2 separate regions of the Mus musculus genome follow, and region 2 is reported to be linked to region 1. The links are microRNA targets in miRTarBase. Many come from high-throughput screens and were not tested one by one. Region 1 holds a microRNA gene; the other region holds the end of a gene's coding sequence.

Region 1 (4,400 bases):
GACTTCATGTACACTGTCCACTTGGATTCTTCCATATTTTAACACAGTCCCATATAAATGCAGTGTATACAGAGGAGAGGATTCACAGACTTGTGCCCACAGAGAGGATTATCTGACCTGATTCATCAGGAACATTAATCCTCAGCACAAGTGCTGTTTTCAATAGTAAGTCCTGTCCAAGGAATCCAAAGGGTGGCACTTCGCCTGCACTTTAAAGGACAGAGCCCCTATATGTCCACACCCCTGTTCCTTTTCCTTCCTTTCACAAATATTCAGGTATGCACTATTTGATACAGCTCTGTTAGTCATAGAGGATGTAGCAGGAAACAAAATGAACAGAGGTGCTACTCTCTTAGGAGACTAATAAACACACTAAGATCCTTGACTATTATAGACTCACCAACTGCTGTTCAAAAGAATGACCTAGGTCTATTGTTCCTTGTTTTCTATTCTGTATGAATGACTCAGTGCAGGGTCTGATAGATGAGATTTCTCAAACTATTCCCCCTCCCATGGCCCTAGATATGCCTAAACACATGGGCCTACGTGGAGAGGAGTCACTCGCTCACAGGAAGAGTGGATATGGAGCCTATTGTGTTGTTCCCTCTCCTCATCCCTTCAGCCCGAAGACCAGTAGACTAAGTGACTTCTTGTCAACTACCATCACTACTCCCATTTGAAGACAGGAGCTTACTGTCTTACTGTGTAGCTCTGTCCCTCAAGCTGATTCTCCTATACCCACCTCCATAGGTCATACTTTTCTACACACATTTGCAAGCTGGCCTGGGCAACATGTGATCCCAAAAGAAAAGTGAATCTCTTTCATGTTAAAAATAGTAGTCTTTATATCATGTATATTTTTTATTCAGATGAGGGAGGTCTAACTAAGTAGCTTAGTCCAGCCTGGAACTTGCTGTCTATTCCAGAGTAGCCCAGATCTCTTGGTTCACCTGCCTCAGGCTCTGGGTGCTGGGATTATAGGTCTGATGTGCCACCGTGTCCAGATGCTTCATGTTCTGAATGGCCATTTACAGTGGTGATTCTCAAGGCAGGATCCCTGAATCAGCAGCATCACCGTCACATGGGAATGCATTCAAAGTGCGGAGTTCCACCCCTGACCTATCAGGTCATAACACAGAGCAGTTTATATTCTCTTTAAGCCTTCCAGTTGATTCTGATGATCACTCAAATCTTATAATCACAGAATCCAGCCAGGTGAGGGGCTAGAGAGGAAAGAGTTCCCTTCTTTCTTATGTATGTTCATGCAGGCTGTCTGGGAGAAGCTCAGCTGGTCTCTCCTGCCTTCTCATTCCCACACTTGATGATGGCATGTGGGCAAATGAATATGCAACAAAGAGAGAGAAACCGTAGCATGATTTCTGTAGGCATGTACCTAATATTATAGACAGACACATAATTGGTGTACAAAACCAAAACCAACTCAAACACTTCCTTGTGTGCATGGATTACACATGAGAGTGGGCCTTGTCATCATGAATCTTCTGCCAGGTGATTTAATTAGCACATGTTGACTGTTCACTATGCTGTGCTATGTGTTGTTGCAGGAGTGTTCTGCTGAAGAGCATAGCTTTCTCCAGAGGAGGGATGTGTGGTGAGATTTGCTTTCCTACTGAGAGAGCAGTCATTCAGGGAGCTAGGAAGTAAGAGCTCTCAGTCTCGTGTGTGTTTCCATGTGGATGCACATGTGACATATGGAAGTAGAGATGTAGTTCTCTGAATACCTAAAAGGCAGGAGAGGAGACATAATCGCAGTCTATGCTTATGTGCATTGAACTTTCTTCTTACACACTAAAAATGCACATCTGTTGTATAGGTGACTAAACCCCAGGTTTTGTTCACCCTTGCCTGTTGTTAAAGACCTGGCATGCATGTTTTTTTTTTCATTTCATTTATTTTATTCCCTTTCAGATAAAATCTTACAATATAGTCTGGCTGGCTACAATTTCATAATTTTCCTGTTTTACTCTCCTGAGTGTTGGTATTTAAAGGCTGTGCCATTTTGCTTTGCATGAATGCTCTTATCAGTGCACTGGGATTATGCAAAAATACAAACCCTGAGCCTTACATACTTATAGGAGAAGCCTATGCACCACTTCTCATTCTTTTTCTTGCTCTTTTAACAGGTTGCTTGCATTTGTATTTTGTTCTGGTCATCCAGATCGATTGAATTCCTAATGTTTGGTAGTGCTGCAGTGAACTAAGCTGTCTGAAATGCTAGCTCTACTGTCTACTGGGCCTATGGAGATTAAGCTTCTTCATGATATAGCTTCCGAGGTTAGAAATGAGCTCAGGGTATTGGAATGTAGGCTTTTTCTTCATTTGTTCATACGTAGAGTATACCTGTGCACACACATGTGGTATGAACGTCAAGATAAAGTCTTCTGCTTGCCTCCCCCTCTCTGTTGTCTTTGTCATCTAGATATGAATGTTATCTCATTGACAACATTCTACTCTTTGAGGGTTAGAGGGGCCTTTTACTTCCTTATAGAAGGGCAATTACCTGTAAATCAGTGCTTTCTCATTTCTCCCCCAACAAGTACAAATTTGCTGACACCATGCTGAGCAGGTGGTAGTCCCCAAGATAGACTAGCTCTCACCCTCAAAAGAGATGCGTAGGGAGTGGCATCTCCATGTTTTCAGTTGATGGTGAGTCACAAAATGGGACTTTTTAATCTACAGAAACACACAAAGTGTAAGACTTCTCATTTCTGCTTTCATATTGGTGTATAGTACAGTGCTTCCCGCCCCCCCCATCTCCCCCCCCCGCCTCCCCCCCTGCACATTGAGTACTCAAGGCCCTGGTCCTTCTCCTCTGCTCCCCCTCTCTAATCCTTGCTATCTGGGTGCTTAGTGCTATCTCAATGCAATGCACCTGGGCAAGGGTTCAGAGAAGGTGAGCTCATCTGCATCAAGAAGGACCAGAGACCCTGTGTGTCAGCCTACCCCTCCCTCCTTCTTTCCCCCTCCCCCTTCCTTCCCTCTATTGAGTAAAATAGTTGTTTGAGTGAGTCATGTATACCAGGGAACCCCCTAACAGATTATTTAAGAGATTTCAGGTACTCTAGTTGGCTTCTTTCTACAGCTAACTTATAAAATACTCAGGTACCTGGAGTGTGTAGGCTTTCTCTGTATTCTGTCCTGTATGGTTATACAGGATGAGGTCAGGAGTTCAAACCTGATATGTTTTTCTACTTCCTCACAGCCTAGAGGTGAGTATTGTTTCAGACATGGTTTCTAGCTAAAGATTCACTGGAAGGACAAAGAACTATTAGATCTGCCTTCTCCCCTCCCCAATGTCTAGTTTCTACTGTATATTGGGCATTCAGTTTAATGTTGAGAGTATGGTAATGGATGGACAATAAGGGCCAGATTACTGCATGTAGTCTCTGGTGAGCACCTTTAGGAACAAACTCCATCTGGATCAACAGTGTACATGGACACAGTAATGACCTCAAATAGTGATATCTATAGAGTACAAGCTCAAATGCCTGTATAACCTGCAAATGTGCAAATTCCCCACACATGTACATATTTTTCTTCCTACAACTATTTTTCTTCACCATGCCCTTGGAGGAATATTTTTTCTTTTTTTTTTCTTTTTTTTCCTTTTCCCAATTTATTTTTTTAAAATTAGGTATTTTCTTCATTTACATTTCCAATGCTATCCCAAAAGTCCCCCCATATCCTCCCCCCACTCCCCTCCCCCCTACTCCCACTTCTTGGCCCTGGCATTCCCCTGTACTGGGGCATATAAAGTTTGCAAGACCGATGGGCCTCTCTTTCCAATGATGGCCGACTAGGCCATCTTCTGATACATATGCAGCTAGAAACACGAGCTCAGGGGTGGGGTGGGGGTACTGGTTAGTTCATATTGTTGTTCCACCTATGGGGTTGCAGACCCCTTTAGCTCCTTGGGTACTTTCTCTAGCTCCTCCATTGGGGGCTCTGTGATCCATCCAATAGCTGACTGCGAGCATCCACTTCTGTGTTTGCTAGGCCCCAGCATAGCCTCACAAGAGACAGCTATATCAGGGTCCTTTCAGCAAAATTTTGCTAGTGTGTGCAATGGTGTCAGCATTTGGAGGCTGATTATGGGATGGATCCCCGGGTATGGCAGTCTCTAGATGGTCCATCCTTTCATCTCAGCTCCAAACTTTGTCTCTGTAACTCCTTCCATGGGTGTTTTGTTCCCAATTCTAAGAAGGGGCAAAGTGTCCACATTTTGGTCTTCGTTCTTCTTGAGTTTCATGTGTTTTGCAGATTGTATCTTGTATCTTGGGTATTCTAAGTTTCTGGGCTAATATCCACTTATCAGTGAGTACATACCATGTGAGTTCTTTTGTGATTAAGTTACCTCACTCAGGATGATGCCCTCTAGG
Region 2 (4,400 bases), not on the chromosome of region 1:
TGTGTACATACAGCAGAGAAATGTTTTAAAATGTTAAGATATTAGCCGGGTGGTGGTGGTGGCGGTGGCGGTGCACGCCTTTAATCCCAGCACTTGGGAGGCAAAGGCAAGTGGATTTCTGAGTTCGAGGACAGCCTGTCTACAGAGTGAGTTCCAGGACAGCCAGGGCTATACAGAAAACAAACAAACAAAAAATTAAGATACTAAAGTTTGGCTCTCCTTTGCACAGAACTGAATGACTTCATCATTCAACTTGATGAAGAAGTAGAGGGTATGCAGAGCACCATTCTAGTTCTTCAGCAACAATTGAAGGAGACACGACAGCAGTTGGCACAGTACCAGCAGCAGCAGTCTCAAGCTTCAGCTCCAAGTACCAGCAGGACTACATCTTCTGAACCTGTAGATCAGGCAGAGGTCACAAGCAAAGACTGCAGTCGTCTGGCAAATGGACCAAGTAATGGCAGCTCCTCCCGCCAGAGGACGTCTGGGTCTGGATTTCACAGGGAGGGGAGCACACCTGAGGATGACTTTCCTTCTTCTTCAGGGAATGGTAATAAGGCCTCCAACAGCTCAGAGGAGAGAACTGGCAGAGGAGGTAGTAGTTACATAAACCCACTCAGTGCGGGGTATGAAAGTGTAGACTCTCCCACGGGCAGTGAAAACTCTCTCACACATCACTCAAATGACACAGACTCCAGTCATGACCCTCAAGAGGAGAAAGCAGTGAGTGGGAAAGGTAATCGAACTGTGGGTTCCCGCCATGTTCAGAATGGCTTGGACTCAAATGTAAATGTACAGGGTGCAGTTTTGTAATATTTTTCCAGAAAATTTTTATACAGTGTCATTTAATTGGGGAAAGGATACTGTCAAAAAATTAATGCATACTTTTGTCACAATTTACCTTTTTGTGGGTGTGTTTTTGTTTTGTTTGGTTCCTTTTTTTTTTTTTTTTTTTTTTTTTTTTTTTTTTTTTTAATTGCTTCAATACCTCTGCCACTTTGAAAATTGTAACAGTTAATTACTTTGAACATTGCTAAAAGGACATTTTGTGTAGGGTCAAGTTATTTTTATATGAGTTAATGTGAAGTTGTAAATGGGAATCTATAGCAATGATGTCTGTATAAATCTGTCTTATCTAGAACTTGTGCTGTCAGGGCACTCTTCCTCACGCTGTTGTTACTCATGCACCATTCAGACTTGTTAGAGTAGATGTGGGTTTAGGACTGCCAGGTTTGCCCAGTATAGTAGTTTTTATCACTAAAAAGTTGGACTTGGAGTCCTATAGTAGTTTCAGCGTTAGATAAAGTTTTTCCACCATACATCTTTAGGTGCATTCATCTTTAGGTGACTGAATGTTAAGAAATCTGTGTGCATAGTTACTAAGTTTTTATGAACTGTTGTGTCCTGTTAATGCATATTGCCCTGTGACTCCAGTATATCTCACCTGTACTGACCAAACCTAAATAAACATTTTTATTACGACTCTTGTTTGTTTTTTCCTTTTGTCTTGGGTGTGTTTAGCAATTGTCCTTTCTTTTCACTGAATGGCTGAATTGCTACTTACTCTGTAGTATATACAAAGATCACATTAAAACAGTCTATGCATTAAGTCTGACTATCCACCTAATTTTAATTTGCACTTTTCTTTGCAGAATGAAGTGGGAGTTTGACTACAGCTCAAGGACTTTGGTTTTGGTTTTTTTCCCTCTTGACGTAAAGATCTCATTTTTTAAAAAAACTAACCAAATTTTAGGTTTTTGTTGAAGAGCAGTTTGTTCTTCAGATCTGATTTCAGGGAATAGGTACAAAGATGTTTGCTTTAAAGCATTGGCCAAATAATGCTTTTTCCAGAAACAGCATCCTTGCATGTATTGTAAGGAGGTCTATGGGTCTGGACATGTGAAACAAGTACCCTTAACAGCTGTGCCATCTCTTTGTCACCACTCCCTTTTTGCCCACCTTCTCTCTTCCTCTTCTCCCCACCCATGCATCTGCCGGATTTATTATCATCCTTAGTTTGCCATTGTTCTCAAAATGTGGCAATGATACCTGGGCTAACACTTAGAGGACTATCATTTAAGCTCCCTTGACAACATCCACTCTTACGTTAGCAGGTCACCCAACCATGATTCTGAGCTTAGTCCTTAATGTTTTCCTGCCTCCCTTCGTGCTTCTGAATAAAAGGAAGAAAAGAAACAAACCTGAGCAGGGTTTGAGGTTGCTGTGCCAAATACTTAAGAGATTGGAGCGAGAAATGAACGTGACGGCTGTGCAGTAAAAATGCAAATTAAGGGCTGGAGAGGCTGCTCAGCAGTTAAGAGCACTGACTGCTCTTCCAGAGGTCCTCAGTTCAATTCCCAGCAACCACATAGTAGCTCACAACCATCTGTAATGGGATCCGATGCACTCTTGGTGTGTCTTAAGACAGCTAGAATGTACTCTAAAATGCAAGTTATAAAAGCTTTTAAGTATATAGTTAATGATGGCAGGCTAAGGCAACAAGCTTGATTAAATAGTCTTTGGAAGCAATTTGAGGATGGCACGGCTCTGCTTAGCATAGTCACAGCCCAGGCCATCCAAAAAAAAGAGAAAGCAAGCAAAACAAAAAACAGTTTATGAACAAAAGAAATTGAAAGCAGCATTAAGTCTAGCATTGAAAGGTGGGCTAGTTGTCATATACTCAGTTCAGTGAGTGAACAGTTGGTTGTGATGGTAGCTGTTTTATGTTGTCTAATCAAAACACTGAGAGGGTGAAACAGGATTGAGAAATCAAGGCCAACCTGAAGCTACTATCTCAGAGTGAATGCTACTATTGAGAAGACGAGTGTGAGCATGTGTAAAAAATGCTTCCTATTAAAAATATACTTCAACAGATGAGCTTGTCCTTTCAACTGTGTTTAATATGGCCTTTTGTAAAAGTAAAATTCATGAACAAACAGCATTTTTCTGACAGTTGGACTCCTGTAACTAGTCATGAAACAACCCCAGAATGACTGCAAGACCCCTTAAGGACAAATAGTTTGTAGCACCACTAAATTATTTTTTTCCATTTTTCCCCTCAGTCTAACAGATATAGGAGTTATTTAAGAAACTATTGTAGGGGCTGGAGAGATGGTTCAGCAGTGAGAAAGCACGTTACTGCTTTTGCAGAGAACTCTGGTTCCATTCTTGGCATCCAATAATCTATAACTTTGAATTTTAGGAGACCCAAAGCCCTCTCTGGCCTCCACAGGCCCCTGCACATGTGTGCTGCACACATACACAAGAAATAAACTGGGCATAGGGGGCTGGAGAGATGGTTCAGTGGTTAAGAGCACCGACTGCTCTTCGGAAGGTCCGAAGTTCAAATCCCAGCAACCACATGGTGGCTCACAACCATCCGTAATGAGATCTGATGCCCTCTTCTGGTGCATCTGAAGACAGCTACAGTGTACTTAGATATAATAATAAATAAATCTTTAAAAAAAACTGGGCATAGTGAGACACACCTTTAATCTCAACACTCAGGAAGCAGAGGCAGGGAATCTATAATTTGGAAGTCAGTTTCGTCTACATAGTTCCAGACCAGCCAGAACTAACTACATAATTCCTGTCTCAGAAACCAAGCAGCCAGGCAATGGTGGCGCACACCTTTAATCCCAGCGCTTGGGAGGCTGAGACCAGTGGATTTCTGAGTTTAAGCCAGCCTGGTCTACAGAGCAAATTCTAGGACTGCCAAGGCTACACAAAGAAACTATCTAGAAAAAGCAAAACAGGGCTGGTTAGATGGCTCAGTGAGTAAGAGCACCCAACTGCACTTCTGAAGGTCCAGAGTTCAAATCCCAGCAACCACATGGTGGCTCACAACCATCTGTAACAAGATCTGACGCCCTCTTCTGGAGTGTCTGAAGACAACTACAGTGTGCTTACATATAATAAATAAATCTTTAAAAAAAAAAAAAAAAAAAAAAAAAAAAAGCAAAACAACAAAAGAGTTAACAACAAAAATATTCTAGCCCTCTGGTTCCTGTATAGATTAGAATACTACCAATAGCAGATTCCTTCTTCTGCCATGTTTCCTCTCCCTGTTGCCATGCCTTTCTGCCTCAATGAATATCCTTTTGGAACTGTAAACCAAAATAATAAATGAAAAGAAAAAAATAGAAACTATTCTCTTAACCTTTTCCCCCTTCATTATCTTTGACTTGAATCTAGCACATAGGTCTCTCAGGAGCTAAAATGAAGACTTCTCGGTGTTGCTGTCAGTCATTCCACAGAAGCAGTTGGCACTGCTTACTCTGCGTATAGCCTCCAGGAAGGAGACAAGTGAACACCTTGTCCCTAGAAGAAAGTATTCCTGCTCATTTTTTTTTTTTCACGAGTGTTTACGTGTGGAGGCCTGAGACCAGTGTCTAGAGATC

What was found. Region 1 holds the annotated microRNA mmu-miR-500-3p (AAUGCACCUGGGCAAGGGUUCA, at 2,887-2,908, shown strand). A microRNA usually pairs through its seed, bases 2 to 8, with sites in the 3' UTR of a target mRNA and lowers its output. Matches are read on the target gene's strand: a 7mer-m8 pairs with bases 2 to 8, a 7mer-A1 pairs with bases 2 to 7 and ends in A, and an 8mer does both.
Region 2: miRTarBase lists Wtap as a target of mmu-miR-500-3p. Seed matches in the 3' UTR shown: 7mer-m8 at 1,328-1,334 and 7mer-A1 at 1,369-1,375.

The regions. Positions count from the first base shown.
Region 1 is chrX:7,236,203-7,240,602 of GRCm38, reverse strand. Mir500 (microRNA 500) reads left to right here and starts at 2,829; the gene lies at 2,829-2,920. All of the region lies in intron 2 of Clcn5 (chloride channel, voltage-sensitive 5), which reads left to right.
Region 2 is chr17:12,963,881-12,968,280 of GRCm38, reverse strand. Wtap (Wilms tumour 1-associating protein) reads left to right here. Exons shown (of 8, transcript NM_001113533.1): 8 at 230-1,482. The coding sequence ends at 813. Among named protein-coding and RNA genes, the nearest start is that of Acat2, 5.4 kb to the right of the region's middle.